4 linked regions of the Notamacropus eugenii genome follow. The protein of the gene in region 4 binds, or shares a complex with, the protein of the main gene of each other region. Links are inferred from orthologs where the notes say so. Each region holds a gene or a part of one and is shown on either strand. Other genes may lie near its edges.

Region 1 (7,876 bases), about 270 Mb from region 4:
TTTAAAAGGCTGTATAATATTTTAACATTCAAGTATCAATATTTATAAATATGTTAATCTAAATATAGGCAATGCTCAAGTACAGGCCACATCCCTAAATGAGACCTCTTTGAAAGGAAAAATCTAAATATATATATATATATATATATATATATATATATATATATATATATATATATATATATATATATATGTATGTATGTATATCATATGCTGAAAAATATAACCTGTTTGAGGGCAGACACTGTTTTGTAGAGGTTTTTGACCTTTGGATATACAGGCAAACTTAGGAGACAAGTCATGGACAACAACTGCACAGAACAGACGGGCAGGGACAGGGTGCTGTCTTCAGAGAGAACGTCTGTACCAATGAGATCACTCAGCACTCAGTCCAGTGCCTTGCACACAGTAAACAAACGACTATTTGCTGAATTATAAATTCCAAATATACAGAAAAGGTACAAATCAAAATAAGATAATCCCAGTGATAAATTTCTTCTCAGTAATTAAGTTTAGCTTCAAACTATCTCAAATTGAGCTATTTATCCATTAATTTTATCCAGATAACATTTATCCACTGAGTTATACATTTCTCCATATAAATATCCAGTTATGTTTATTTTTCTGGCATTTTAGAAAAATATTTTCAGAGTAGAAATTTGGGCTACTTGGCTAACACTGTCCATATACCATTCCACTCCACACAGTGCATAGTAAGCACTTACCAAGTGCAATTCACCAAACACTGACCTACCACGTAGGCACTGAGAGAGATACAAAGGACAGATAAAACCCATCTCTGTCCTCATGGAGTTTACCCTAGAAGAGTATCACTCATGGCACCTCTCTCCTTGACTACTGTAAACCCCTAACAGGTCATCTTGCTTCTTGTGTCCCCCATCAGCAATCCATTCTGAATATTCTCCTCCTTCTCAAATGTTTACCTCTGTCTCTCCTTTACAGCCATCATTCCATAATCTTATTGGAATCTATTACTATGCTTCATCTATGAACACATTATTTGTCCTTTCCCACAGTGAGCACAAGAATTTTGTGGCTTTTATCTCTTTATTTTTTGAACCTACCATAATGGCTTGTATATAGTAAGCATTTAAATACTTGAAGTGAATTGTATTTGTTTAAGTTATAAGCAAAATGCTACCTCATGGAGAGAGGAGACAATTAACAATTGGGTGATGGAGGTGCTGCAGAAAATCCCTTAGTAAGTATTTGTGACATACACTGTGCTGGGCACGAGATACTGAGACAAAAATTAAATAACCCCTGACTTCAAGGAACATATAATAGATTAAGAAAGACTGTATGCAGGAAGTAGCAGTAAACCCAACTTTCAGGGGTGGGGGAGGTGATGGGTAAAGGTCACATTTCAGGCCCTGACAAAGGAGGGACAGTGGAGAACATGTGGTTGTCGTTTATCCTCTCTTTTGGACATCAGCAAGGTGATGCCGTGACTTGCAAGTGAACTGGCTTTAAGTGAGGGAGGGCTGAGCGAAGTCACCAGCTTCACCAGGATATAGATGAGGAAGACTGGAGGTGGCCCTGGATGCAGAGGGATACCTTGGCCTTTTTAAGCTAAGGTCTTTAGTAGGTCTCAGTTTGACTGAGACAATGCCCCCAACCAGTGATTAAGGCCAGGTAAAAAATGGCCCCTTTCTCCTAATTAAAAAAAACAAAACCCAATCTGGGAGGGAAACACCCTCAGAGTTTCTGGCCCAAACAGAAACAATTACAATTTATGTTGACTCTGGGCCACCCAGGTCAAAAAGATGACCACTAAGTGGGGCTTGGGACGGACCCTATTGTTGGTCAATCATGGTCTTTCAGAAAGGAATCCAGCCAGTAAACCCCAAGGTATCTTGCTAGGTTTGTCATCAAAATTTACATTCTTTGGGGCAGAGCATCTGCAGGTAAGGATGTGACACCCCATGTGCATGGAGGAGCTGCACCACCCAAATGGAACTGGCCAGTTGGGTGCCCAGCAGGGCTGCTCAGACTACTCGGAGGTTGTTCTGGAAGAGGACTATGAATGACGTCAGGAAGATGGTGCCATGGCTTGTTCGTGAATTGGATGTAGGCGAGGGAGGAATGTGCCAAGTCACCAGCCTCACTCTCTCCTCCGGGGCCTGAGTCTAATGGCACAATACGGACTGGAAGGGCCCTCAAGAGAATGTGTGTGAGCAATTATTACCTGAACAGCAGGGCGGCATCAAACTTTAGAACGACTCTTAACTGCTGGCCTAGGAAATCTGAATTTTACTCAGTAATCCACAGACGCTAAGGTTTTAGGTGGAGAAGTCACAGGACTAGACATGCACATTTGCCCCTTCCAGTACGCCCCAGCCAGGCTCGGGGCAGTGACTGGCAGAGAGGCCTTCGGGAGGGCAGCGTTCACCCCTGGCTGGTGCGGAGGCACGTGCCAGGGAAGGGGAAGCGCAGCCGGAGCCCGGAGAGCAGAGCAAGGGGAAGACGTCTAAGAGCAGGGGCGCCGGCCAAGGGAAATGGGGAGGCTGAGGCCGAGCCCCAAGATTAAAGCCGGGCTCTGCTTGTGCTAGGGGAGCCCTCCGGGGAGGAGCGAGTTCGCCTCTCCCATGTACCGGCCAGGAGGCCGGGATCCCGCTTGGGGCCGTCTCCGCGTGTTCGAGGCCGGGGCCGGGCCGGGCCTCCTCCACTTACCCGTTTCTGCTGGGAGTCCACCCAGTACACGCCGCCGCCCCCTCCGCCGCCTCCGCCGGGCTCCCTGTGGCGGAGCCGCCCGCACTTGGTGACCAGCAGGCGGTCTCCGCAGCGCCGCAGGCCCGGGCCGCACACCACGCGGGCGCGGGCCCGCACGACCGACCCCAAGCGCAGCGTCTGCTCCACGGAGCCCTCCGTGCCCGGCCCCGCCGACTCGGGCAGCAGCAGCTCCTCCCCGGGCAGGACCACCTGCCCCAGCACGGTCCGCGCCACCCGCGGCCCCGAGCCGGGGATCGGCGGGGCGGCCATCGAGCAGCCGCTGCCGCTGCGGGGCCTTCCACAGCGACCCCTGCAGGACCCGACGTCTCTAGCCCCGGAGCAGAGCAACCCCACATCCGCCACAGGTGGCCCCGCCCCTTCCGCTCAGGGTACACGTCACGTGAGGAGGAGCGGCCTGGCACAGCTCTTCACCGCCCCGCCTTTACGCCGAGGCGCCACACCCCGCGGGAAGGAGGAACGGCTCCGGCCCCGCCCCCCCACTGTGGTTCCATTCCACGTGACTAGAGAACTGTTCCTTCCCACAAGGCCCATGCGCCAGGGCTCCGCCCCTACCTTACCTGGACCCTGGAGCCCTCCCAGACCCCGCCCCTTGCACAGTAGTTCCAGCCCACGTGAGTGAAGGCACCCGCCCCTAAGGCCCCACCTCTTTCTGCTGTGTCCATTCCACGTGATAAAGAACTGCTGCCCCCCCCCCCCCCCCCCCCGCCATGGCCCACCCTTCCACTCCGACTTAGCTCCTCCCACCCTCGGGACAGAAGAGGAGGAGCAACCTTCCGCCTTCGTGGTGGCACTGTCCTGCATGAACTAAGGAGCAGTCCGGGACTTTCCCCCAGAAGCCCTTCTCTACTCCGGACAGTGGAGGGGGCGGAGCACCGAACCTCCACGCCCAGTCCTAGCCCCACCCACTCCAGACCCGCCTCTTCCCCTGTGGTTCCATTCTGGCCCCGCCCCTCTCAACTGTACACCGGACTGCTCCTAGACCCCGCCCCCTTTCTCCCTGGCCCCGCCTCCCTGGGCAGCTCCCGCCTACCCAAGTCCAAGACCAGATTGTCATCCTCTCAGTGCTGGATCCCGAGCTTTTACCCCGATTACCCCGGTACCCCACGTCCCTCCTCTCTAAGTAGGACTTTTCTCAGAGTTCTCAAGGGTTTTTTTATGGGGTCATAGGACTTATCTTAAATGGGCCTTCTGAGATCATCTAATGACTAGATTATATGTCTACTCCAACTCTCATTTTATCTCATTTTGTTTCATTTTGTTTTACATCAAGGTCAATTCTGAATATAATTCTTCTCTTTCTCTACCTTTGCTTCTTTCCAAGTGAGACTTCCTATCCACAAAGGGGAAAAAAGTCCCATGCAACAGTTCATTCCTACAGTTTCCCATCTTTCCAACTAAAACATTTTAGTATTTTACAGAAGGGACTGAGGCCCAGAAAGGGAAAGTGATTTGCCTCAATGGCACTCCAATAATAAATAGCTCAGTTATGATGCACACCCCGAGTTTCTAATTCCAAATCCTAGGTTCTTGCCTCTCTACTACTGTGTCTCATCAGCAAAAAGCTGTCTCCTGAAAGGAAAACTCATTAGATTGGACTATGAAATAATTTATCTATAAATTGCTAGTTTTTTAGTCAAGGATTATACAGTAATAGTACTGTATTCTCAGAAACCCAGAATCCTAGACCTTTTGAAAAAGTCCCACCTTTTGAGACATACAACCACACACACACACATACACACTTCACAGACGATACAGCAAAACAAGGCATCAGAAAGTGAGAAAGTTTAATTTTTTTTAATTATTCATACCCTTAAGCAAAGCTAGCAAGTGTGTAAGGCCACATTTGAACTCACATTCCGGCCTAAAAAAACCCCCACATATTTCATTTATAGACACAAATTATTCAAATTTAATAAAATTAAAAAGCACAAACAAAATAAAAAATGGCTAAAATTAGGAGAAAAGATGGATTGGGGGAAATTTTATATAGTTTTTTAAAATCAATTTCCCTTGCTCTATCAATCATCTGTAACATGTTTTTAGAGCTGCTTGGAGTAGTGAGAGTAAGTGACTTGTCCATGATCACACAGGCTGGCTCATAACTAATTAACCTTTTGTATTTTTCAGCTAGGTAGCCCAAGGGATAGAGGGGTAGACTCAGAATCAGCAAAATCCTGAATTTAAATTGTGCCTCAGACCCTCCCTAGCTGTGTGCCCATGGGCAATCTTTCTCAAAATTCCTCTTTGTAAATGGGGAAGTGTTTTGCCAACCTTAAAGCACTATGTGCATCCTAGTACTTAACCATTTCTGGCTCTAAGGCCAGCTTTCCGATGCTTCTCCTGCCTGAAACATCTCTGAGCTGGACTTCCAAAATTCCCAGAGAATTCACTCCTGAAAAAGATCTGTAGCTAAAGGAAAGGAAGAGTTTTCAGGAATCCTCTTAGGCTACTTCTGCATCCCCATCGGGTGATGACAGATGAGGGTGGATGGGGCATTTCCTAAAGAGAATACAAAATGCAGTCGCTTCCTAGAAGCAGGCTGCTCATCTCTGTATCACCCATGGCACTGATGGGTCCTAGCGGCTGCACGGTCACGGTTGGGGTCAGGGTCAGATCCCTTCCTTTCCCTCAGCCTGGGTTTGGAATTCCTAGGGCTCCAGGTTGGGAAAGGAACACAGATGGAAGGAGAGAGAGAGAGAGAGAGACAGAGAGAGACAGAGACAGAGAGAGACAGAGACAGAGAGAGACAGAGACAGAGAGACAGAGACAGAGAGACAGAGAGAGACAGAGACAGAGAGAGAGAGAGAAAGAGAGAGACAGAGAGACAGAGAGAGACAGGGAGAGACAAAGACAGAGACAGAGAGAGCAGGGAAAGTGGAAGCGTGCCAGGGAGAAAAAGGGAAGAGAGACGCGGGTAGAAAAAGGCTGGAAGGGAGGGGGAGAGAAAGTAAGAGAAGAAATAGGAGGGGAGGAGAGAGGAAGGGGCGGGCGAGACGTGGGCGGAATTGCGCCGCCCCTCCCTCCGTGGGCAGACCCTTCCCGGGGAGGGCAGAGAGGGGCCGAAGGGGCGAGTCCCGCGGGCGCAGCCTCACTCGTCCTCTCCCCGCGCCCGGACGTAGGCTCGGGAGGCGAGGGTCCGGCGGCGGGAGCGGAGCCGAGCCGGGGCGCTGCGCCATGGGCCTCCTCCTCCGCCTTCTGCGCCCGGGGCTGGCGTCGGTGAGTTGCGGGGCCCGGGGCCGCGGGAGGCCGGACGCTGCGCCTCGCGGGGTGGGGGGGCGCCCTCCGACCCGGCCGCGCGTGCCTCGGTCACGGCCATGGCCCCGGCCCCCGCCCCGGGAGCCTGGGTGGTGCTGGTGCCTTCCGCGCCCATCACACACGCACACGCGGCACACACGCGGGCGCTCACATGCGCGTCCCTGGCTACAGTCTCCCCTTCAGGGCGCTCACGGTAGTTCTAGGGGTCTCCGGCCCTCGGGCGGCGGCGGCCTCGTGGCCGTGTGGCCGGCCCGCCTTCCCTTCCTCGGACTCAGTTTATCTGTGGTATGGACGAGGCTGGAGGTGACCCCCCAGGGTCTCAGGTCGCTGGTGGGAGGAGCCGGTGATCGCCCCCTTGCTTTTTCAGGGTGGTGTCCCGAGTCTTAACGCCGTTACAAATGTGAGGGATCAAATTTTAGAGGAAGCTGGGTCTCAGAGAAATGTCTGCCCACAGATGGTAAAGGTTACAATTCAGTTAAATTGTTTGTTTGTTTACAGGGGGCGGGGCTTAAGCGGTCTTGTTGCGCCAGCTTTGCTCCGGGAGCTTTGTAAATATCTCATCGGATTGTCACCGCAGCCTTTTGAGCTCGTTCTGTTACAGCCACTCTGTAACAATGTAGCAGCAGCTACTTCCACAGATGGTGAAATGACCTGCCTAAGGTTACACAGTTAAGTGTCTGAGGTCACCTTGGAACTCGTGTCCCTGCTTAACTCCAGACCACCTTTTATTGTGCATAGTTATGGAGAGGCAGTCTGGTGTAGGGAGCAGAGAGCTGAGTAAGGGGGCAGGAAGGCTTAGGCTCGAGCCTGATCCTGAGACCTTGGGGAAGTGCCCCCAGATAAGGTTTTAAGATCAAAAATAGCAAATCAAGTGGCAGTTTGCATCGGTAAGAGGGTATTTCCTCGTGGGCATTTCCCTTTACCAGTTGTCAGAATTCCCATGCCAAGTCCAGGACAGTAAACCTAGTCCTAGATTAAGAAGTTAAAATGGCAAGTAGAACATGATGTTGTTGGGTTATTTTTTTCAGTGACCTTATTTAGGATTTTCTTGACAAAGATAACTGGGGTGGTTTACCATTTCTTTCTCCAGCTCATTTTACAGAGGAAGAAATGAAGGCAGACAGTGACTGACCCAGGATCATACAGCTAGTAATTGTCTGAAGTCATATTTGAACTTCCTGACTCCAGGCTGTAACAGCAAGCATTTTGGCACCCAGGAGGTCTTAGATCTGCTTTTCTAAAAGGAAAGCAACTTGAAGAAGGAGTAAACAATCTTTAATTACATATACCAACAGACAGAGCTTCTAACTGACCGTAGGCAATACGTACATGTTACCAGAGAGAGAGAGAGAAGCACAGACATCCGGGTTTTCAAAGTGGGGGGCACAAGAACCTTCTTCCAAAAACTAAGCCCCAAAGTAGAACCTCACCTCAGAGTATATACATATGTGTGTATGTGTATATATACGCTTTTCCAATATATCTCCTGATCCAGTGCATCCTTTGCAATCATCAAGAGGTGTGGGTCTTCATACAGATTCAGTCACCCTGAATAGTCCCACCAAAGGCCTCTCAACTGCCGGGGAAGAGTTTGAACTCCCATTACACATGCCCCTTTATCCACTTCACCACCTGGCTTTAGTAATGGCAATATAATTGGTGGTATAATCACCTCAAACTTAACCCTGTTCTGTTTAATTCATTAATAAAATCATAATTTGATAAAATCTGATATTGATCAAATCACAGTGAAAAGAATAAATGCTGATTAAGTTGACCTTGACTTGGATACCTAGGAAAATTCTAGACTGGATTATTGAAGAGATTGTTGTTGGACATCCAGAAAGGGAAATGGTGACAGTGG
Region 2 (7,765 bases), on a different chromosome or scaffold from region 4:
ATTTCCTAGGCCCTGGTACTGTACCTAGCACATAATTTCTTAATAAATGCTTCCCTTCCACCCTCCCCACCTTCCACTCCCTTCCCAAATTGGCTCCTTTCTGTCTACTCCATCTGCATTTAGAAATCCTGTCTATTGTTCCAGGCTCAGTTCAAGTGTTACTTCTTCCAGGAAGTCTTTCTTGATCCCCTTCTCATCTTGGCCAAGTTGGGAGTGCCACCATCTGAGATCCCGAAGCACACTTTCAACACTCACAACCCTAGTCACACCCCATCTCATACTATGGTTATTTGTGAGAATAATGCTTCCACATTCCATCTAGGAAGCCCCACCACAGCAAGAGTGATGTCTCCTCTTTTGATGCTGTATCTACTCCTGAGAAGAGTATCTGGGCTCAGTGAGGGTGTGCAGACTACAGTGGAGCCACTGGAGGATGAGAGGCAGATCTATACTCTGGTATCCTCTCCAGTAGCCAGAGCTTCTTGGCAGTAGAGGATAAAGAGCCCATTGAGTTTCATGGGACAAGGACCATGTCTAGCAAGGGTTAGGAGACCAGGGGTCAAGTCTAGCTTTACTACTAAATTGACTATTGGGCAAGGCGCTGCCATCTCTGGATCCCCTTTCCTTTTCTGTCCCATGTCCTGGTTCTGATACTTTTACTTTGTATCACCCTCACAGGAGCCCTGTGAAGGAGATGGGAGGGCATTATCACCCCTGTCTGACAGATAAGATAGATAAGTAAACTAAGTGGTACTAGAAACCACGTCTTCTGACTCAGGGTTTTCTCAAGGAGACAGACCTTCCTAAATACCTACCCCATTTTATACCATCCTGACCTTCACTTATCTAAGCCAAAAGTCTACTACTTCTAACCTTTTCCTCCAATACAAATTTTCATCTTTACCTGGACATAGATGTCAATCTGGGAGCGAGGGTATAGTTGGGTCAGGATGGCAGCCTCAAAGGTCTGCCTCAGCTGGAGGCCCATTTCACAGGCCTTGCGGTCCCCATGTGGCCGTCGCTTCCGTTCCCCAGTGCTGAAAGTGGCCATGCTATACTGGCAGTTCACCAGTGCTCGGTCTGGCAGTGCTCTTGACCGAGAGCCCCGCATCTAGGAAAATTAGGGAGGGGAGACATAGGAATTTATTAAGTAGGAGCTGTGGGAGTCACCCCCGCTCCCCCAACCCTCCCTTTTATCAAGCCCTGGAGAGTAGCTTCCTAGTCAAATAAGTGACAAAGCCAGCATATTACTCCCAAGGAGTAAGGAGACCCAGGTTTTAACAGAAACCCTACTAACTTATGTGCCTTTCAGCAAATTCCTTAAGCTCTCTGGGAAGGACTTCTCATTTTTTTAAGTGAGGAGGGCAGGGTAGATAACCTCTAAGGTCTCTTCTAGGTCTAACCTTCAGTATTCTTATAATACTCTATCTCCTGACACACTGGGATCATCCTAGAGTGTTTATTTCAATATTCAAGACTCCTCTACCCCACCAATGATCTTTTCCTTTCATTAATACCCATATTCACTTCAATACATAATGACCTGTCACCTCATAGATCTTGGGCTTATCAACATCCAGGGAATTCTCCTTGATTAACCTTACCCCTGCCCTTCATGGAATTAATTCCACCATCCTCATCCTATTTTCCCAAGGGAATCAGGAAGTGCCCAGGATTCTTCCTTATACCCTTCTACAATGGACTATTCCAAGGAAGGGCCTAGTAGGCTCTCTATCTCCTTTTCCTATGGGCCTTCAGCTTCTGTTTAAATAAAGGGTCCAGAATGGGCTAAATGATTTCCTTCAGGGAAAGTCTCAGCATATGTAGCACAGCTTGTCTTCCGGAGTCAGAAGGGTTTGACTTTGTCTGGCAGTGGGAGATAATTATTGCATCTACTATCATACATTATCCCCCACCCCTACGGTATACGAGTGAACTTGAATGGCACACACACACACACCCGGAACAAAAGATAATCTCTGGACCAGATTGCTCTCAGGTATTCATAAAAGCTCAGTTTTCTTGAGGATGGAACTTCTGCCTAAGTTCTGGGGGTCCAGACTGGGGAGGCCAATATGTGAGCAGATGAGCATGTTGACTTGTGAGTTACAAGAGGCAGATACATGGCAGATGTAGACACATGTTGTAGCTCACATGACTGAACGACAACAATAAATAGTGCCTATATGTGCCAGTAGTAGTATTATCCCCAATTTACAGCTAAGGAAACTAAGGGTAACTTTCCCAGGGTCACACAGCTAGTGTCAGGTGTTCCCAAGCCCAGGCCCAGAACTCTGTCCACTGTTACTTAGTAGCCTGAAACTTACAGAGTAGTCAGATTTGCCTTTGGCAACATGTACTACTATAAGGGGCAAAGCAGGCTTAGGTCCGTATTGACATGAGTTTCCTTGCTGGGAGTCCCATATATCAAAAAAATCACAGGTTCAGCCCGATCCAACATAAAATAATCATATACCTCTCCTTTCTATTGTGTTTGTCCTCGTGGCTTCCAAGGGAAGTGTGAGGACTGTTAGAAAAACTTTATTTCCCAAAAAGGGAGACTTTCCAAAACATAGGTTTGACCACGTTAACTCCCTGCTCAAAGTGCTTCAGTGGCCCTCCAGGATCAGCCACTGGACAAGCATTAATTATCTATTTACTTCCTGCCACCCACTTTGCTTACACCTCGCGGTCTCCGAGCCAGTTAGGGGAGCAGCGAGATGACTAATGCGGTGATAACCAGAGGAGACCGTAGCAGCGACTCTCGGCACCACCGGGGGGGTGGGGGTGGGGTGGGGGTGGGGGGGGGGGTGGGCGGTGGAGAGCAGATTCAGAAATGACGTCATACCAAAATCCCGCAGCCTCAGTTCTCAGTTTTCTCCCCTAAAGAACCGCACCTCCCCCCCATCCCCATCTCAACCTCCAGGCTTTCTCAAGGAAGCTCGCGATTGGTCCGGGACCCTGTGAGGTCACGCCCCCTTCCCAATGCAGAGGGAGCTCTTTTTTTCAAGAAAGGCCGCGATTGGTCCGAGACCTTGTGAGATCACTGCCCTCTTCTCCCTCCCGATAAGCATCCTGAGGTCGCCTCGCACCTCGTGGGGTCCATAGACCACGGCCAGCGCCTTAGTGTTGCCTTGTTCGATGTAGGCCGAACCATCTGCCTGCGCGAAGACGCCCATCCGTGCCTGGATCTTGCGCAGCTCTCCAGCCCGCCGCCCGTCCACGCGATAACCCTGATCCGACAGCAGCTCCAATCCCGCCATGCTTGTTGTAGCCCCTTCTAGCCTATCCTGACTACACCTCCCGGCGGCCCCTACTACTTCCTGCTTCTATCCCCGCTTTCCGGCGGCCTCGCGCTTCCGGTTTTCTGCTCTTTCTGACACCGACGGGGTCATGGGGTCTAAACCAAGGAAGGACATCAGAAGACGTCTAGTCCAACTTACAAAGGAGAAGACTGAAGCCCAGAGAGGCAAAAAGACTTAGTGGAGGCCACCCACCTAAGAGACAAAGCTGGGATTGCAAACAGCGCCCCCCTCCCGCTCAGACTACATTTCCTAGCGGCCCCTGCGCCGCTGCAGTTTCTAGCTTCCGGTCCTTGGCGCTCAGCCCTTAGGCGGTCCCCCGCCGGCGCGGACTTCGAGCGCAGATTCCTAGCCGAGGATTAAAGACGCTGCTGGCCCAAGGGTCGGAGGATCCGTTTTGGTTTCCAGTACCGCCTCTTGACTCTTGTTAGCTAGGGGACTTCGGACAAGCCGCTTCGTCTCTCCAATCCTCAGTTTCCTCATCTGTAAAATGAGACAGCTGAACTGGCTGCCCTCCAAGGTCCCTGAAGACTCTCAATACAGTGTAATACGGTAATTGATCATCTGAAGAATGAGAGGCAGTGTTGACAGCGCCTGCTCCCCACCCCCAATATCGTAGGGAAGCCATTGAGTCAGCTCTGAAGGACCATCTATGGAAGTTGATCTTATGTGATATCCAGTTCAATCGGACAGCCTTTCTTAAGAACCTGCTCTGTCCCTCAGTCCGTCTACAAACTGTAATTAAGTACTTTACCATGTGTTCAGACACCGTGCTGAGCGCTTGAGATACAGAGAAAAGCGATGATACTCCCCCCCCCCCCCTTTAAGAAGTTGACTTTCTGATGGGGACGCGTCATGCCAAAAATCATCTGTTACAAGATACATGCTGTGTAAATTAATGGTAATCCCAGGAAAGGCACTAGAAGTAGACAGGACTCCGAACGGCCTCCCGCAGAAGGTGAGATCTGAGCTGAGTCTTGAAGGATAGGAAAGCCACGAGTAGAGGGAGCCAAGCGTGCCAGGTATGGGGAAGAGCCATTGCAAAGGTACAGAATCAGGAGATGATTTTCAGTCAGGGGATAGAACGTCCCTGAAGGAAGGAGCAGTGAGAAGGCCAATATGCTTCTGGATTATGGAAGGGAATGTCAGGCCCTGGGGGGACAAATACAGTGGACATTGTGCAGGCATAAATTACATGTATGCATGTTTAAGTAAGCACAAGATGATTTGGGGGGGCACACCAGTAAATGGGGTAACGGACCCTAGATGCTGGTACCTATTGGACATGAGTGATAGCTAAGGTGTTAAAAAAAATGACAGGATCCAAAAAGATGTTTCAAATTTGGGATGATTGACTAAATCTAACACTAAGAAATTAATATGAAATGATGGAAGTCCTAAATTTGGGTTCCAAAAATTATTTTAACAAGTCCAGGAATTTGGGGATAGGCAGGGGCAGGGTCAGAGACTACGTCAGAGCACTTAAGGGAAGGGAAGAGGCACGTGTATTGTGCCTATTATGGGCCAGGGCTGTGCTAGGAACTTTTAAAAAATATATATTATCTCATTTGATCTTCAGAATAACCCTGGGAAGTAGGTGCTATTATTATACTCATTTTATAGTTGTTATTGTGTTTGTCCTTTGTTCTTGAAGAGGACCATGACATCAAGATGATGACATGACTTGCGGTTGACCTTGATTTGAGTGAGGAAGGTCTGTGCAAGGTCACCAGCCTCACTTTCTTCTCCCGAGCCATCTGGGTACAGTGGCCTGATATTCATCAGGATAGCTGGAGATGACCCATAGTTGAGAGAACAGAGACAAATAGAGGTTAAGTGAATTGCCCAGGGTCACACAGAAAGTTTCTGGAACTCAGACCTCAGCTCCATCTAGCTGCTTCTAGTTAATGTGAAAAGTGAAAAGTATGGGGGAGGGGGAAGGAGGGAGGTGTTTTTCTAGATTATAAACTGTATGCACCAAAATGTGAAATTGCAACCCAAAATGCTAGGGGAAGAGTGCCCCTTGAATGCCTAGTCCAGTTCCAGGGGCACCTAGTTGGAGGAAGAGGAACCTAGGCCAACCCAAAAGGTCCAGTAATACTCCCCCGCTGCTCCCCCGTACCCTCATAAATCCTCTTGTGTCTCTGAATGAGGGCTGGGACCAGATCATTGGAGACAAAGGTGTAGTAGAGTAAAATCCTAAATCCAAATGGTATAACTTTGTTGAAGATTGCATGCTAGACCTCAAAGATTATCTAGTCTAACTTCTTGTGTTATGGAAGAGCTAACAGAGGCCCAGATAAAGTGAATGCCTTGCATCTGGCTACTAAGTGAAAGAGGTAGGAGAATGAAAAGAACATTCAGTCATTGACTATTTTGTACAAAGCAGTGGGCTAGGGCAGATAGAGTTTAGACAAGAGACAGTCCCGTCTTTATGGAGAGAGTTTCTACTCTGAACAGTCAGTCAGCAAAGATTTACTCTGGCTTCTATGTGCTAAGTGTTGGGGACACAAAAGTAAACCAACTGTTCCTGACCTCAAAGAGCTGCCATCTCAATGGGTAAGACAACATGTAAATAGATAGGAGATACATACGGATTAAATGAAGGTGGCCTCAGAGGGAAGGCACTAGATGGGGAGAAATGGTAGAGGGGGACATGAGGAAAGGCCTTTTGCCAAAGGTAGAATTTGAATTAAGTCTTGAAGGAAAGCCAGGAGATGGAGGTGAAAAATGAGAACATTCTTTACAAGGGAGATAACCAGTGAAAAGGTATGGAGTTGTGACATATAAAAAGTTCAAGGGACATAGTTTCTGAGTAGTTAAGCATTTTATTAATCATGCTGCCCTATAATTAATAAAAGGGATCAGTGACACTCTCAAATGCCAGAGACCCTTCATGGAACCCACCCAATGCTTATATGCCCTTGAAAGAGTGGCTGTTCCTGAGGATGGCGATCTACCTTTATTGCTGGGGGTCTGTGACTTTGGTCTTGTCATTTATTTCCAAATCACCCAGAGCCTTTGGCAGTTTAGACAAAGGCTGTATCCCTTTGCCCAGATCTGCCTGAATGGAATGAATTGGGCCCTGAATTCACCTTAGATTAAATTCTTTGTAAGGTTTTCTAGTTGGGTGAGGCAACAAGTCTAGGTAAGGTAAATTTTTGAAAAAGATCAGGGATCTCTGCAGTAATCAAGAGATAATGTCCAATGAGGGAGAGCAAGGAGGCTAGTGTGGCTAGATTAGAGCATCTGTAGAAGGGAGGAAAGGATAAGAAGATGGAAGGGACCTGGTTCTAAAGGGCTTGAAAAGCCAGACAGGATCTAATCCTACAGCTAAAAGGGAGCCATTGGAATTTATTTGAAGTTGGTATTGAGGAGGATGGTGATGACATGGTTGGATCCATAGTTCAGGAAAATCACTTTGGTGGCTGAATGGAGGATGGATTGGAGTATGGAAAGATTTGATGCAGGCAGACCCACCACAGCTTATTGCACTGGTCCTGGGATGAGTTAGTGAGGGTGTGCACCAGAGTGGAGACTATGTCAGGAGGGAGGAGACATAGGAGAAATGTTGTGAAGGTAGGAATGTCCAGATAACACTTTGGATATGTGGGGTGAGGAAATGAGGATAACACTAAGGTTGCATGCCTAGATGACCAGGACAATGGTTCTGTCCTTGACAGTAATAGGGAAATTTGGAAGAAGGAGGGTTTTAGAGCAAATATTTTGGACACAGGTGTCTAAGGGACATCCAATAGATTTCCAGTTGTTGTTCATCTTTTGTTTTCAAAGACCAATGATATCATGAGGTGATGTCTTGAGTTGTGCATGAATTGGATTTAGGTGAGGCCATCAGCTTACTCTCTCTTCCACAGTCATCAAAGTCCAATAGTAGGACAAAAGTCAGGATGACTGACAATTGCCTGGGATGCAGTGGATGACCTTGGAATCTTCAGTGTCTGATTGAGCTCTAAGAGCTTCACAATACTTCCTCCATAGCACTTAGAACAAATTGTTTTCATCCACCCATTCTGCCAGGGGAAGTCTTCATATGCTTGAGATAGATATGCTCTAATTCACTGATGAGTTTGAGGCCTGTCAGCCACCCTCAACCTGGTTTAGGCCATCTGCCAAGAGAGTTTTACTGGGGTGTGGTTGCCGTGCTTGTTACAGCTTCTTGGAGCCACAGGTGAGAGGTGAACTTAGAGTTGGTGAATCCAGGACAGAGCTCAGGGCTGGACAGATCTGAAAGTCATTTGCATAGAGATGATAATTGAACCCTTGGGAACTGATGAAACTGAGAAAGTATACAGTGAGCTTGACCAGGAAAATCTTACAAAGGAGACCTCAAAGTAGCTATACTAAGAGGAGAAGCAGAACGAAACAGTGTCATGAAAGCTAGAGGGAGTATCTAGGAGGAGATGGTCACCAACAGTGTCAAAGCCCGCAGAGAAGTGTATGGG
Region 3 (8,343 bases), on a different chromosome or scaffold from region 4:
GATGATGTGGGGGCTGTGAAGCTGGCTGACATGTTAGCAGGAGGTTCTAACAGCACAGATCAACCATGTTCAATTCACTAAAATGAATGAATCCCATCTTTCTACAGATTTTTCTAGTTCCAAGTGACCATATGGAGCTAGGAAGTGGATCTATTTGCTTTGGAATTAACCATTTCATTTGAATTCAGCTCATTTTCTCCCAGCGGGTAGAAATCACACCTGTTCATCTTAATCCATTTTACTCTTTAAGGAACAAAGTATCTATTTAGAAATCTACAGTGCCAGGACCTAGGATTTTGACCTAGCTAAAAGCTCCCATATCTGGCTTAGAGTGAGAACCCATACTTAAATTTGAAGAAATGTTACTAAGTATTCTAGAAAAATGTACCAAATTAGAAGACAGAGCAAATTGTTCCTCTCTGGTCAATAAACAAAAAATCCACAGGGAGAAAAGGACTTGGGGGGCAGTGTGGCAAGAGGGGAAATCATTGTAGTAGTAGAAAAATGACAACTTTAGTATCACCGGGGACTCTTTCTCTGATATATTTGTCCTCAAATATGGTCTTTGAAATTAATTACAATAACAGGAACTTTGAGATTCCATAGTTATTAAGTTTTTTTTAAAAAATCATTACCTTGTCTTTTTCAGTAGCTCGAACATCTTCCTTCCTGTAAGGAAATTAAAAAAAAAAAAAGATTCTTCAAGAGAAACAACGACTTGCTTTCTAGGACCAAGGCCAGAGTAGCTGCTGGAATTGGGACGAATCATATTTGTTAATTAGCTGCCATCCAGAGGCACAAGATGGAAACACATCCCAAGATTACATCTTGGGCTAAGACCTCTATCCTGTCACAAGAGGCCCACATAGAATAGCCAGCAATTGTTCCTAGGGATGGGTCTGGAGAGAAGGAAGTTTCAGGATAGCTAAGACATGCGAAGGTATAAGAAAACTTATTAGCCCCTCCTGGAAAGAAGTGGCAGAAAATGACTGCACAGCTATTCAGAATCCTAGGATGGAAGAGACTTTCAGAGATTGAAGAATAAATGATCTTACATCCATGAAAAATGATTTCTGTCCCCTTTTCAAGGGAAAACTCGGGAAAAAGAACCCTACCCAGTAATTTCCTCCATTTCTAATAATCACCAGGGTTGGCCTATACAACTGCAATTACATGTAATCTTTAGGAGAAATAGGGCCTAACAAACTTACAATCAACTCTGGATGAACACATATCACCCTGATGCCTGCTAAGCACATACTTCAGTCAAATTTACTACCCTAGTCCAAACTTTCTCTGTGAAACACAAGAGAGATCACAGAGAAAGGAAGGCAGAGATATTAAAGAAACATGATGGATGTAGATCTGTAATATTTTGTTTAAAATCCCAGACTGTTTTGAAGCAAAATAAATAAATTTAAAAGCTTCCCACCTGATAGTGCCTCTAAAGGAGTTCTTGAGTGGTGTGGATCCCACATACAATATATGTACTTTGGCAAATCGAGAATTAATGCTGGAGACCTGTGCCATAGAGAAGATAATGGATGGATTAAAAATATTAGCAGCTGTCAGATAAAGAAATCCTGGTGATATATGGCAGAGATTTCTAAATAAGTAATTAAGGGAAATAAATTCTACTCTTAACTATCCTATTAACTAGGTAACTCACTTAATCTCTGTTTCAGTTTTCTCAATAATTTAGGGAAATTTGCCCTATTTCAGAATATCACATGAAATAAAATGAAAGCATGTTGAGAAGTAAACAAATGTAAGGCATTCCAGCAGGTTCGAATCCTTGGACAATTGAGCCATCGGTCTTTTAGGACCTTAACGAATCAAGAATATAGACTTAAAAACCTGAAATTCTGTAAGCTGTCTTTTCATTTGCAAAATTAAGACTGGGACATTTGTATGAATTCAATGAGTTCTTGTGAAGACGGGAATAAGCATGCACAGAAAACGTTTTATAAAGTGCAAAATGTTGTATGGGGTGTTCCAAAAGTCTTAGTGAAGTTTTAAGTTATTAAATCTTAGACACGGGAACCTATTAAAGCTTAAAATTGCACTAAGCCTTTTGGAACATCCTGTAGAAATGTGAATTAGTACCACTGCTCCTCAGTCTCTTTCAACATTACAACACATACTGTTCTGCTGGGGCTATTTATGAAGATACTAACATTACTCTAGCTTTCATCCTGGAGAAACTTTAGTGACACAAAATTAACTCATAGTCTCTTTCCTTAAAAATGTCTAATGAGATCTGAAGTTCGCTAGAACCTCTGAACGGTGAGGATTTTTGCTTTCGTTTTTTTCTCCTAAAGAATAAATCCCCCAGCTTTTAGAATTCAGAACCGGGTACCCACCGAGTAGGAAAATGACATTCCCTGTAAAGTAGAAAGGGGTTTTTACAGTCTAAAAGGTCACACGATGGAACAACCAGCAGCCCTGACCACTACTGCAGCCGGCGGACGGAGGCAAAGCCCGGCGCCCTGGGCATGTGGGAGCTCGGAGGCGGGTGGGCATTACCGCACCTTGCACGTTACGATCGTTCCCACATCTGGCAGCAGCTGGGACTCGGTCTCTCTGGTCACTGACACCACCGGGAGCTGCAGAGGGGACGAAGAACAGGGGCCTGAGCTCTACTCGGTGCCAGGTCAAGGGGGCCACGGGGCGGATTCAGTGGGGCTAGAGGCCCTGGCTCCGTCCGGCGGCCGACCCCAGGCTTTGGGGACGCAAAGGCCTACGGGGCTCCCCGGCGCCCCGCGAGGCCCCGCAGGCCGGCCTCACCTCGCCGTTGTCGCTCGTCTTCACCAGGCAGCCGGAGAGCGAGGAGAAGATATAGCCGTGCCGGGTGTAGGTGCCGCTGCCGGGGCTGGCCTCCTCCAAGTTACACAGTCGTTCGCCTGCGGAGGACAAACGTGGTGTCCATCCCTCCCATCCGGGCCCTCAGCGGCAGCTCGCCGGGCCGGCAACCCTTCCTCGGGGCTCACTCACCTGGGACGCAGTACCGCATCGGCGGCGCCATAGCCATGATCTCCCAACAGCCATTGCGAGAGACCGATCGTCAATCCATTGGTCGAAACGAAGTTGAGGGCCCGAGTAACAGAACTGCCAATTGGCTGGCGTACCACGTGGCTTCTCCAGGGCCTCCTCAGAGATTTCCCTCTCCTCCCAGAACTTCAGCTCCCAGGGTACCTTGGGAGGAAGAAAAGAGGGCGGGCCGCCAGGCTGCCCACGCTTGCGCCGTAGGGGAGGCCGGGGTGGTAGCGGTCCTGGCGCCGCCGCAGGTGGGGACTGGGGATGGTGGCTCTGGCTGATTGGGGCCGGGGTCGGCTTCGGCCGAGGCTGCTGTGAGCCGTGAAGTCCTCGGGGCTGGACTGGGTCGTTGCCCGACAGACAGGAGGTAAGGCGACCTCCGGGGTCACAAGGTTCTATCTCCCACCTCTTTCCTTTCCCTCAGGATCTTGGGCCCCCAGCCGCGGGGGGCGTGGAAGTACGGGGCGTGAGAGGGGTCAGTGGCTGCGCCCGTGCGCCCTGGGCCGTTCCTGAGGCGGGGGCCGAGGAAGGGGGGCTTCGTCTTTCCCGGGATACCTCCAAGCCCTTGGGGAGGGGGTGGAGGGGCTTCTTTATGCTCACTGCCCCTCCCCCTCCGTGGTGGCTCTGCTTCCCTACCTGGCACTCGGGGCTGGCTGGGATGGGGCGGACCGAGCTCGGTGACGGGGTCACGTCGCTGCCTCCTTGTCTGTCCACCCGCGGGCCCCCTAGAAAGTTACTGACCTCTGCGGAGCCCCGTATTCGGAGGCAGAGCCCTGCATCCCCGAACGCTCTTTATCCAGTTATCCGCGGACCTGCCTTCAGGTCAAACGGGGAAGTTCGTCTCTGGGCTGGTGACCCTAGAATGGACAGATGGCGGGGCAACGCTTCCCTCCTCCATGCCTTTGCCCAAATGGAAACCTATCCAGCAAATGTAGAGGGGGAGATTAGATGGAGAACTGCAAGTTTAGGGGCTGAGACAGGATTGTGAGACAACTTCCTCAGGTTACAGTCTGTGGAGGAGTACTTCTGGTCACTCTGATGTTAGAGGAATGGAGAGTTTTAGGATAGTGCTGTTTAATCTGAATTTATTCCCTTTAGGAAAGTCATCTAGTGTTTTTTTTTAAAGTTATTTTAGTTATTTTATTTAGTTATTTAGTTTAGTATAAGCTATTTGTTATTATCTACCAATTAAAATGGTGTAGTGTATGTAACCCAAAATGGGATTTAAAATTTTTGCTTAGTTTCAAAATGCAGAGGATTTTTGTTGTAGTTTTTGCATTTGAATACGCCTGTCGGTTGTTCTGGAAATCCTTACTTTAAATCAAATGACTGTAGAGTCAGCTAATTAGTATTTTTAATTATTTTATTTTTATTTTATTAAACATTTATTTAAATATTTAATTATGTGCTGGGCACATGGGATCATGGATCTCCCATTCTAACGTAGGATCCCTGTAAACAACAAGGTATCCATAAGATTTAAACAGAGTAGATAGAAAAAAATCAGAGGGAAGGCAGTAATCGCAATAGGGGAACCAGGAAAGGTTTCCAAGAGAAGATGGGATTTGAGCTGAGTCTTGAGGGAGCTTCAAAGTTCCTGCATTTTCTATCCTACGATATTTTCTTCCTGATTGCCCTGATATCAGGGAGTTGGAGAGCTTCCTGATCCTGATGGACAGCATCACTTCTGACTGCTTTAAGGTTCTGGCCAGAGCAGTACTACTTGCTGGCTCTTTCCCTCTCTCTCCCCCCTCCCTCACCTTCTCCCTCTTTCTCCATTTCTCTCTTTCCTTCGTTATCTGTCAGGTGCAGGAATAGGAGATGGAATACCTGTGTTTAAAGGCTTTTCTTGGGTGGAAGGAAGGGACACTGATCCAGTTACTGAACTGAAACCATGCCTAGATATGCAGACCTCCTCCGGTTTCTTCTGGGTTTCAGACTTCATTCTAAATAATTAAGTTAACAGAGTTGAGAGCAGAGTAGCACCCTCCTGCCTCCCACATGACAAATCCGATAATCTGCTCTTCCATAAGAGATAGACTCATTCACAAAATTGGTGCAGGTATCCACAGAAGTCTGTAGCTGAAGATATTGGTTAGGTGTCTTTTCCTCTTCCATTGCTGTATTATTCCACAGCCAGAGAGAACGAAAATATTTGAAGATATTAAAGAATTTGGAGCGCTGGGGAGATAAGCTAAGAAGCAGGCCTGTGAGGGGAAATCACTGTAGAGAAGGCGTTTCTGCTTTGAACAAAGAGAGTGTGTGTGTGTGTGTGTGTGTGTGTGTGTGTGTGTGTGTGTGTGTGGTGGGGGGGCAGTTAAGAGGATCATTAGGTTGACTTCTAACTAATTCAGGAAAAGACTAAACTTCACAGGCCAGATTATGTTCTCAAGAAGGATCTGAGTCTGAGAAAAGGGACACAGGCAACCTTTAAATATGTGACATCCCCAGTAAATGTCACTTCTAGGGTGGAAGTGACAATATCCTACTACCCATATCTTGGTGGTTCCCTTAGCCTCTGAATAGGGAGATTAGAAAAGATGTCAAGATTTATGTCACAAAAGAGGCAGGAGAAAGAACACAGGACTTGAAATCCTAAGATCTGAACTTGAAGTCAGGCCATGCTACTTCCTGGTTGGGTGATCTTGGGGAAGTCCTTTTATCTCTGAGTCCTTTTCTTCATCTGTAAAATGGGGACAATCATTTTTATTCTCCATATCTCTTCGGGATTTTTGGAGAATCAAAGGAGATACAGCTTTGTAACCACAAAGTGCCATGAGTTGTTGTCCCAACATCATGTGATAGTTGGGACTGAGAATGGAAGGTGCAAAGCTTGGGAATTTTATGCTGCCAGGCTGAGGTCTCTGAGCCTGTAAGAGCAGTCCAGAAGATGAGAACTGATAGCTCTCTCCAAGGATATAGATGGCATCAAAGACCTTGGAACAGGATCCACTCCAGAATGCTTTCGTATACTGATGTGGCTAGTTTTAGCTAAAGAGTGGAAAGCATTAGAAGTGGGAGGTGAGTGGGAGGTGGGCAGGAGGGAGATCTAGGTGACAGGCAGCTTCCTCAACAGCTCTGCCATTGCAGAAGGCCACACGCTTTGTCACATTCTCTCCTTGCAGTGGTTTTGTTGTTCTTGCTGTTTAAGGTTTCCTCTGCCCTCTTGGTTCCTATTCTGTAGAGAAATCCAGAGGAAGACTTTGCTTGGTGCCAGTTATTTCTTTTGTCCCTCTTGATGCAAGAGGTGTCATTTAGTGGCGGGACTTACATCCTTCTTGTGTTAGTCTACTTCTTGTGTTAAGAGTAAGCATTGTGTAATGGAAAAACTGCTGGATTTAGATCTGGATTCACATCCTAACTTAGATGTGATTCTGGTCATGCTACTGTACCTTCCAGCCTGTTTAACTGGAAAGCAGGCATAATACTACTTTTATTACTTACCTCACATTTGGGAGGTTTACAATTTCAGTACTATTTGTTAAACATGTGAGCTCCTGTATTTGTATACTTAGTTAAGTTTGATTCTTCAAATCTAAGCTTAGCACCTCTATCCTGTGGTTGTTGGAATAAGTAAGTCATTAGGGGCAGGCTGAGTGTGACCTCAGAGAGCCCTTACTTGACTCACTTGTCTGGTGGGGCGCAGGAGTTTAGGTGTTCACCGCCTGTTTATCTTGCTGTAGGAGGCCATGCGAAGCCGCCGGTCCTTACTGCTGGGGCCAGCACGCCTATGCTTGCGTTTGCTTCTCCTCCTGGGCTACAGACGCAGATGCCCATCGTTACTTCGGAACCTTGTACTTCGTTGGCGCTATGGAAAAGTCTGTCTGCGCTCTCTGCTCTACAACTCCTTTGGGGGCAGTGACACTGCCATTGACTCTGCCTTTGAGCCTGTCTATTGGCTTGTGGACAATGTGATCCGCTGGTTTGGGGTGGTGAGTGTTGGCAGGATTATGTGGCTTGGGGTTAGCATGAGAGATGTGTGACTTTTGGGTGAAAGGATGGGGATAGGTGGCTTGATCTGAAGACTCCACAAAATACTTTACAAAACCAGGCTCTATTTGTTTTCCTCCTCTTGTACTGCCTTAGTTGTGGGGTGCCATCTTTCCATACTCCAGTCACAGATGAGTGTTGACTTCCTACTGTTGACAGGTCTTTGTGGCCCTGGTGATTGTACTGACGAGCTCCATTGTTGCTATTGCCTACCTGTGTGTCTTGCCCCTGATTCTCCATACTTACTCAGTGCCCCGAATCTGCTGGCACTTTGTCTACAGTCACTGGAACCTCATCCTTATCGTCTTCCACTACTACCAGGCCATCACCACACCTCCTGGATACCCACCCCAGGTAGGGCTCAGGGAAGGCACAGCAGGACACCAGGGTCAAACTAATAGGACAGGGAACCTAGAATCCTAGTAAAGGGGCAACAAGTTTTGGGAGCAGAACTTTTCAAGAATTCTTCCTTGTCACTGGTTTCAAAAAAAGGTCCCCTTAAGTAACTAGAATGTTTCTGAGACCATGACCAATTCTCTTCGGATATAGGCTAAGACTGACCTTGCTACTGTTTCTATCTGCAAGAAGTGCATTTATCCCAAACCAGCGCGGACACACCACTGCAGCATCTGTAACAGGTTGGCTTTTTCTCCTATTTCCTTGGTTTTTCTTTGGCCTTCGTACTTGCCCTTTGCCTAGAGTCAGGCAAGTTAGGGGCAAACTAATATAATCCCTAAAAACAGCAACTCTTGTTGAGCACAAGTTGCCTCTCATTATTTTGCTCTATGGTAATGCAAAATCCTTTTCCTCCTAACAGGTGTGTGCTGAAAATGGATCACCACTGCCGTATCCTTTTACCAAGACTCCCTGAATCCAGTGATGCCCAGCCAGCCTGTTCCTTTCCAAATCTTGATTCTGCCTCTTAAGCAGCAGGAGTTTTCCTAACCCCCTCCCCACCCACTACCAATGTATTTTAAAACACTCAGGAAAAAACACAGACTAAATGATACTTACTGGAGAACATGGCTTTTTACTAGGACAAAAAAACAGGCCTAGAGGCTTTGGAGAAATGTAGCCTCAGCTGTTCTCTCTGCAAAATTTGATCTTATGGGAGGAAGAAAGGCTTGGAAGCCAATTATTTCCTGAAGAAAAGAAATGAGCAGAGAACTGGACAGGCACTGTAGAAAAGTTCAGCTGTAGAGATAGGAATGTAGCTTGAGAAGGAGGTTAAGGATGCTGTTCTCTTGTCTTGGTTTGCTAGAGCTCCAGGTTCCTTCCCTTCTTCCCATAAGTACTCAGAATTGGCCAGAACCAGTG
Region 4 (7,636 bases):
GCTGATCACAATGCTGGGAGCACTCAGCCTGGTAAGTGATGGAACCTTCCCTATTTTTTGGTGCTCTCTGCTCCTCCCTCACCAAAAACATTACTTTTTCTTTACTTATCCATGTCCATGTTGTTTCCCCCTAGCAGAATTTAAGCTACTTGGTGTCAGGAACTGTTTTGTTTTTGTCTTGGCATCCCCAGCACTTAGCACACAGTAGGCACTTAACAAAGGTTTGCCAAAGTGACCTGAGGAGGGTTGAACGAAGCAAAAGCAGAAGAATAACTGATCAGATTTCAGTTGGCCTGGACGGCCACTGAGGTTCTTTCCAAATTCTGTGATTCTAACATGTACACAATGACCACTCTGACACAAAAACAAAGGTAAGAGTAAATGCTGTGACCAGAAGACAGACATTGGAACCCACTTCTCTGCCCATTAGGAAGAGACAATGGAGTAGCGGAGCATATGTTGCCTACATCATCAGATACAAATGCTGTATTGTTTGATTTTGTATAAGTGGATTATTTGGGGGAGGGGTAGTTACAAGAGAGGGATGAGGCAATGTTATATAACAAAGTGACAGTAAAAGTATTAATAAAACTTTAAAGAACATTTTCCAAGAGCAGCTAGGTGGAGCAGTGGATAGAGGACGAGCCCTGGAGTCGGAAGGACCTGGGTTCAAATTCAGCCTCAGACACTAGCTGTGTAGCTCCATTTGCCTCCCTGCCTCCCCCACCAACAAACCTCAAAATAAACTTCCCTTAAGAAGAAATTTTTAAACTTTTAAATAGAGTGGGAAATTATGAAATTATGGAGCAGGAGAGAAAATTAACCCTATTTTCATACTGAAAGATGCTGTATTTAATTTTTTGTAAAGACATAATTTCATATTTAATGTTTTAGAAAAGTATAATTATAACTCTCATGGAACTTCTGTCCCTATCACATAGAACAGTAGGATTCCATGCAATAGTTTGTGGAAATGTTGTTGTACAGCCAAGGTCATTAAAAATAGCCACCACAGAATTAGGGGACATGTTCTTGTCAAGACTAGACAGATTGGGCAAAGGATAAACCATGGGGGATTAACAAACTGTTGGGTTTGTTTTTAAAAAAAACACCCTATGCCTTGTTGACACTACTAGAGACAAAATACCGAAATGCAGAATGGACATCTGACCCAAGGTGACTAAACTCCCAGTGAGAGGGGATGAGCAAGGTGTGAAAAAAAGAAAATAAGAGGCAAAATAAATAGATATAATTTCAGACACATCCAACCAAACCTGGTATAGTGAAAAAGCATCCTTTTGTGGAGGAAGTCAAGTGACTAAATGTGGCACATGCAAAGAACTGCCATGGAAGACCCAGGTGATTTGTTTAGTGAAGCTTCATTAATAGCTCTCCTTTCCACTTCCCCAGCTTCCCAGGGAGAATGCATATGGTCCAGTTGGATAAACTGGAGATTAAAAAGATGGAATCGAGCTCTCTCTATTTCTCTTAAGGCTGAAAATTCAACCAGGGTAAATTGCTACTGTGTACTTCAGTTTCCTCAGCTATAAAACAGAGATAATGGAGAAGGCAGAGAGGAACAATTGAAAAACAAATCTGCATTAATCTACAACAGAGAGGACTAATGATCCTAGCCAATAAAACATAATGAGTTGGGCAGGCATCTAGCTTTAAGTGTGATTATATGGAGGGGAGGAGAAGGGCAATAGAGAGGAAAGGAGGCAATAGAATGTAGCAGTGGCTTGGGACAGTAAGGATGACAGCAGAGAAAGGCTGACATTTTGTTGTGGTTTTCTGGTTTTTGGGGGGGGTGGGGGAAGGGATGTCGCTTTCAGAGGTTGATTGCCAACTTTCAAGCCAAATAAACCATCCCAACACCTTCTGGTACGTAAATTGCCAAATCCTAGGGGTAACTGACAGCTCTGTCTTAGCTTCCAATGCAATTGTGCCAACTGTGAAATCTTTTTCACAACATCACCTCACCCACCTATAAAATTGTTATTTTTCAAAGAACTCTGACAAAGAGTACATCATCTGCTATTCGGGGAGGTAATACTCAGGTAGGCAGGAATACTTTCCCTTTCTGGGTCCAACATTCCTACCCTATTTCTAACAGGAACTTCTGAGTTTCCTTCAACCCGAGCTGGATCTGGGAAATTTATGGTACTGATGGGAGAAGCTAACCCGGGCAACGTTTGGAGCTAAAGAAAGGTGCTCTGTAGGTCTCTTCGTCTGGGATAAAAACCACAGTTCCGGGGAGTCAGAGAAAGTGCCAGCCTCCGGACCCCGACTTCGAGCCCAGCTACAATGTAACAGGAGGATGCCTGAGCAGCTACAATGTAACATCAGGATGCCGCCAAGCGCCGAGGCCACCTCGGAAGGGGAGGCCAGGGCCAGAAGAAGCGCTTAACAGACAAAAGCAGCTTATCTGACCCAGAGGTGGACGGTCTGGGTTCCAGTTCTCTGCTGCCTGACCGACTCTGGGGAACACTAACACGTCCAGACGTTTACAATGAGCTTGACAAACATCTCACTGGAGGCTCACCACAGTCCTCCGAGCTTAATTAACTCTACGGGGCTTGGGGCCAGGCACTTACTCTCCTCCTGGGGCCTCAGTTTCCCCATCTGTAAGAAAGGGTAGTCTGAGATCCCTTACTCCAGCTCTACAGTAGACCATCTCTAAGCCTTTTCCCCAAACACCGGCCCCCACGTGCGCGCGCAGAGCCTCCGAACGACCAAGGGAGGGCAGGGCGCACGCGCGTAGGGGGCGTCTGGGAAGGCTGAGGGGGAGCGCGCCGGGGCCGAGGCAGGAGGGGTCCGGGCCTCGCCTCGCCTCCTCGCTCGTTACCTGCACACCGTGCACGATGTACACCTTTTCCGCCTCGCTCAGCGCCACGGACGCCATGAGGCCCCGTCCGGCCACGCTTCGGCCGCCGTCGCCGCCGCCTCAGAGCCCTCCGCCTCGGCGCCGCTCCGGACGTCGCGCTCCCCGCACGACTGTGGCGTCATCCGCCCGCGCCAGGGCCCCTGGGGCCGCTCCCGCCGCGTCATCAGCGAGCGGCGGCCGCTCCTGCCGCCGCTGCTGCCTCCCGCCTGAGAGCCCGATGGGCTGCTCCTGCGCCCCGCCCCGAAGTCTGGGTGAGTCCCGGGAGCCGCGGCCCCCGAGCCCCGGAGCGGCAGCGGCCCCCAGAGCGAGGGCGGGAGGGCGAGGGGGCGGCGGCGCCGGGGGGCAGCTGGGGACGGACCGAGGGCCAGAGGGCGGCCGGGGCACCTGCCGGCCGGCCGGGAGTCTCTTCCTGGGCGCCGGAGTTTAGCGAAGTCTGCCGGAGCGAGCCGCTGCCCCGGGGCTGCGTGCTCCCCTTGCCCCACCACTCACCCCTTTCCACTTTCCCGGGTCCCACACTTGCTGCCTTTCCGTCCGGCACTCCTCTTCAGCTGCCCTTTCCCCCTGCTCGCGTGCCACCTGCTGCCCCTCCCCCTCTCCTTTATCACCCCCCCTTCTGCTCCTCTGTTACTCCTGCCCCTCCCTTTGCTCCCCTTTCCCTCCTCCCTCTCTATTACCTCCTGCCCCTCCCCTTGTTCCCCTATTATTCTTCTGCCCCTCCCTTTGCTCACCTTTCCCTCCTCCCTCTCTATTACCTCCTGCCCCTCCCCTTGTTCCCCTATTACTCTTTGCTCCTCCCTTTGCTTCCCTTTCCCTCCTCCCTCTCTATTACCTCCTGCCCCTCCCTTGCTCCCCTATTACTCTCCTGCCCCTCCCTTTGTTCCCCATTTCCCTTCCCCCGCTCCACTATCATCCCTCGCCCCTCCCTTTGCCCTTCCCCCCTTGCCGCCTCCACTTTTCACCCCGTCCCCGCATTACTCTTTGGTCCCTGTTCCCCTTGCCCTTCCCTCGATCTCTGTCTCTCCCCTGCCCTATCCTTTGCTCCCTTTTTCAACTTGCCTCTTCCGCATCCCCTATCACCTTCTGTCTCTCCCCTCGCTCCTCTTTTCCCTGCCCCTCTTCCTGCCTCCCCTTACCCCCACAGCCTTGTGCCCCTGCCCTTGCCTCCCCTCTTTCCTTTCTTCACCTCCGCTCGAAGGCGAAAAGGTCCTGGATTTTGAGAAGATTCAAATCTCTGAACCAGTCTGACTTTTGGCAGTGTGACCATGAGCAAATCACTTAACCTTCCTCAAAATCGGCTCCCTCATCTATAAAGTGGGAAGACTAATACAGATCTATCTCCCAAGATTGAGCTGAAAGCCTTTCTAAACCTTTATGTAGGTGATTTTTTTTCATTGCCTAACAGAATGCTCTGCATGTTGTAAATGCTGATGAATAAAAGTTTGTTGGGTAGATAGTAGAGTAGATTTAGTACTAGTTCAACCTCAGAGTCATTTAATCAGCCCCCTCACTTTATAGAGGAGGAAACCGGTGCCCAGAGAGGATAAGGGGCTTGTTTAGGGTTGCACAGATGGAGCTGAACCCAGGCCTTTTCACTTCAAATGCAGCCCTCTTTGCACTGTGCCACACTGCCTCCTTGGTCCTGTGCTATTTGAACTTTTCTAGTCAGTGAATTGGATAAAGACATATTAAAAACTTATCAAGTTTGTAAATGACATATATAGCTAATTACATCGACAAAGCTCAGCATGAGTTAATGGTGTCATATACATTGACCACAGTAGCTGATGCCATACTGGTCCACTTTAGGGAGACAGTGCCCAGAACTAAGGAGGTACTCAACCCACAGTTTTCTTCTCTCACCAGATCACATCTGGATCTTATGTTCTGTTTAGGGTCCCTTCCTTTTAGGAAGGACTTTGACAAGATACTCTCCAGAAAGAATGGAGGGATTAGGGTGGTAAAAGGCAGGTAAAAGATGCAGGAGTGAGGGGGAAAGAAGGGACTGTGCAACATGGATGGCCATCTTCAACTGAAGGGCTCTTGTGTGGGGGGATGGGGTTGGAGTGAGGAAAAACACCCCAACAATTCAATCTCTGAACGTCTCAAAGCCAATACTGCATGACCCATGTGCTATAGAGAGGATTCTTCTTTACTGGTAGAATGATTGTTGCTGTGTTTGTCCTTTGTTCTCGAAGAGGACCGTGACATCAAGACGATGACATGACTTGCAGTTGACTTTGATCTGAGTGAGGGAGGGCTGTGCAAGGTCACTGGCCTCGCTTTCTTCTCCTGAGCCATCAGCATCCAGTGGCCTGATAAGTGCAATGTGAGACCCTGGCCCTTTCAGGTTAAGGTCTTATCATGTTCTCACTTTGAGTGAGATACACCCATTCAATTAAATAGTTACCCCTTTAAAAAAAAATTGAACTGGGAGAGGAAGACCCTCAGGTTTCCTGGGTAAAAGAGAAGCAATTACTATTTAATTATTAGAATGATAGGGCCTCTGAAGTCCCTTCCAGCTCTGTGCGTCTGGGATTGAGTGATGAATACCCCCCTCCATCTGAAGCTCTTCTGCCCAGGCTTTCCTCCCCTCCTCCCATGCTTTGACTCTTCCCTTTTTACTTCTCACCACCTAAATCTGATAAGATGGGTGGGGGTGTTCTTTTCTCGATTTCTGAGATTTTAAGGGGAGAGTAGTTTGTGGAAGGAACTGAGGAATACTTCCTTGCAGCTCACTTCCTGGTCTTTTTGTGAGTTGACTGATAGTGGGAGGGGACAGCTGTGAGTGGAAGAGCACTTCATGATGGACATGGTGCCCAGTAGGAGGCTGCTGCCCATGGTCTGCTTGGAGACTGGGGAAGGTTGGGGGGGAGGGGGTGGCAAATAGAATCTGGCCATATCGTGTGACCCATGGCAGGCACTAGCAGCATTTCTTGAAAACCTGGTGCTTGCCTGTCTTCGAGGGAGGGCTGCAGAATGAATGTTGAGAAAGGAGCTTCTGAGGACCTAGCGCCCGGGCAAGGAGAGGCTGAGGAGGCCCAGCTGTAGCCATCTCCACTAGCCAACAAGCCAGGCCTCTTAGTTCCAGCATTTTTCTGGGTAGGTGGTGAGTTTTAGGCAGTGCTCCAAGGAAACGTAAGCCCTGGCTTTGCTGTGGTGGTTGAGGTGGGCATTGTCTTTTAAATGCATAATACCTGCAAGGTAAGGCTAAGATCACCCTGGGAATCCATTTTTCTTAGTAATCAAGACTGGGCAGAAGAAATTTCAAACGATATTTGTCAAAGGAAAAAAGTGGATTTTAAAGAGCTATTATGGAAAAAGTTGAGTTTTAATAACTCATACTCTCACTGAATCCTCTTTTTTCTCCAAAGTAAAACGACTCTTTCCTCCAAACTTTGTCAGTATGGAATGTTCTCCAGTAAAATATCTGGTGCCTATGTACTCCCATCTGGCCATTTTTAATCACCTTTGAAAGCACTTTAATGCACCCTGCTAAGAACCCTCCCACCCTCCCCCTTGCCTCAGCTCTCAGTAGAATTTTTTATTGGTTAATATTTGAGTATCCACAAGGCTCCATCTCACTGAACTGAGGTAAAAAGCACATGGTTCTTTACTATCTAAGACTTTGTGCTACTGGAAGAGGAGACAGATGGTATCATTCTCCCTACTCCTCCCATACAAAGTGGCCATGCAGGAGTATTGATTTTGTAGTCAAATGACCTGATTGTAGTCAATTCAGGCAGCACAACTTCGAATGATGTGACCTTTGCTGTAAGTAACTTAACTTCACTGTGTTTTAGTTTCCTCATCTGTAAAATGAGTGAGTGGGAATACATCAGCTAGTCAGTCGATAAGCATTTATTAGGTGTCTGCTATGTACCAGGCACTGTACTAAGAAATGGGGGTACAAAGAATGGCACAAGGATGTCAAAGTCTGATGGGGGAGACAACATGCAGATGACAACATACAGACAAGGTCAAGTCAGCAAAGGGAAGGTCACCTCCAAGGGTCCCCATGCTGCAGACGTGTAGGGGTATGTTTTTTGCAGAGGTGTGTTGCATTGAAAGACTAAAGAAAACTTGTGTGGTTAGAGTGATATGAGACTGGATTTTAGGAACAGAAGATGGATATTTGGTATAGAGAAAGTAGAGATGTCTCAAAGTAAGATTTTCCTAGCCGGGATGTCTACTGGATTGGAGGTGGGAAGAAAAGGCTGACTCCAGAACTGCTGCATAGGGAGAGAGGAATGCATGTCTTTAGACAGATGCATTCTTAACCTGGACTCAATATATTTTGATAACTGCATTATAGCATAATTGGTTTCCTTTATAAAGCTATATATTTTTGTGTGTGTTTTTAAAAATGTTCTAAAGGGCCGTACACTTCATCAAACTGACAGAATGAGGATCCAAGACCCAAAAAAGAGGAGAAGAACTGCTGTTTTAGAGCAGAGGTGTCAAAAATGTAGCCTCAATGCAGCCTACAACACTTCCCAAGCGTAGCCTGAACCAAATTAAAATGTAATTGGGAAATATTAAACACGATAACTTAGAATAAAAAACATGTTGCCCAGAGAGGTCCTTATGTATAGTTTTTAGTGGCTCCTATTTCTGTTTGTTTGACATCACTGATTTAGAGAAAACCTTTTAGAATGTTATGTTTATACCTTTAAAATATATAGTCCGCCAAAAGAATGTGATATAGTGCTTGCTGGGCAGCTGCATCCAATGATCTCAGATGTTGATATT

What was found.
Region 1: EXOSC7 (region 4) and EXOSC3 share a complex: the UniProt entries of both Homo sapiens proteins name them as parts of the RNA exosome core complex. The link is inferred for Notamacropus eugenii from reciprocal best matches to the Homo sapiens genes EXOSC7 and EXOSC3.
Region 2: EXOSC7 (region 4) and EXOSC4 share a complex: the UniProt entries of both Homo sapiens proteins name them as parts of the RNA exosome core complex. The link is inferred for Notamacropus eugenii from reciprocal best matches to the Homo sapiens genes EXOSC7 and EXOSC4.
Region 3: EXOSC7 (region 4) and EXOSC1 share a complex: the UniProt entries of both Homo sapiens proteins name them as parts of the RNA exosome core complex. The link is inferred for Notamacropus eugenii from reciprocal best matches to the Homo sapiens genes EXOSC7 and EXOSC1.

Annotation. Positions count from the first base shown.
Region 1 is NC_092874.1:316,499,325-316,507,200, reverse strand, and holds the start of EXOSC3 (exosome complex component RRP40), read right to left. Parts: upstream 3,072-7,876; 5' UTR 3,004-3,071; coding exon 2,695-3,003; intron 1-2,694. Other genes in the region: uncharacterized protein, read left to right, coding at 5,932-5,973. UniProt on the Homo sapiens protein: Non-catalytic component of the RNA exosome complex which has 3'->5' exoribonuclease activity and participates in a multitude of cellular RNA processing and degradation events.
Region 2 is NC_092875.1:85,960,058-85,967,822, reverse strand, and holds the start of EXOSC4 (exosome complex component RRP41), read right to left. Parts: upstream 3,264-7,765; coding exon 3,093-3,263; intron 1,112-3,092; coding exon 905-1,111; intron 1-904. UniProt on the Homo sapiens protein: Non-catalytic component of the RNA exosome complex which has 3'->5' exoribonuclease activity and participates in a multitude of cellular RNA processing and degradation events.
Region 3 is NC_092872.1:214,259,572-214,267,914, forward strand, and holds the start of EXOSC1 (exosome complex component CSL4), read right to left. Parts: upstream 3,138-8,343; 5' UTR 3,032-3,137; coding exon 2,995-3,031; intron 2,904-2,994; coding exon 2,788-2,903; intron 2,607-2,787; coding exon 2,532-2,606; intron 1,522-2,531; coding exon 1,433-1,521; intron 670-1,432; coding exon 636-669; intron 1-635. Other genes in the region: palmitoyltransferase ZDHHC16, read left to right, coding at 6,726-6,968, 7,186-7,380, 7,576-7,664, 7,844-7,872. UniProt on the Homo sapiens protein: Non-catalytic component of the RNA exosome complex which has 3'->5' exoribonuclease activity and participates in a multitude of cellular RNA processing and degradation events.
Region 4 is NC_092874.1:43,356,023-43,363,658, forward strand, and holds the start of EXOSC7 (exosome complex component RRP42), read right to left. Parts: upstream 3,045-7,636; 5' UTR 2,906-3,044; coding exon 2,849-2,905; intron 1-2,848. UniProt on the Homo sapiens protein: Non-catalytic component of the RNA exosome complex which has 3'->5' exoribonuclease activity and participates in a multitude of cellular RNA processing and degradation events.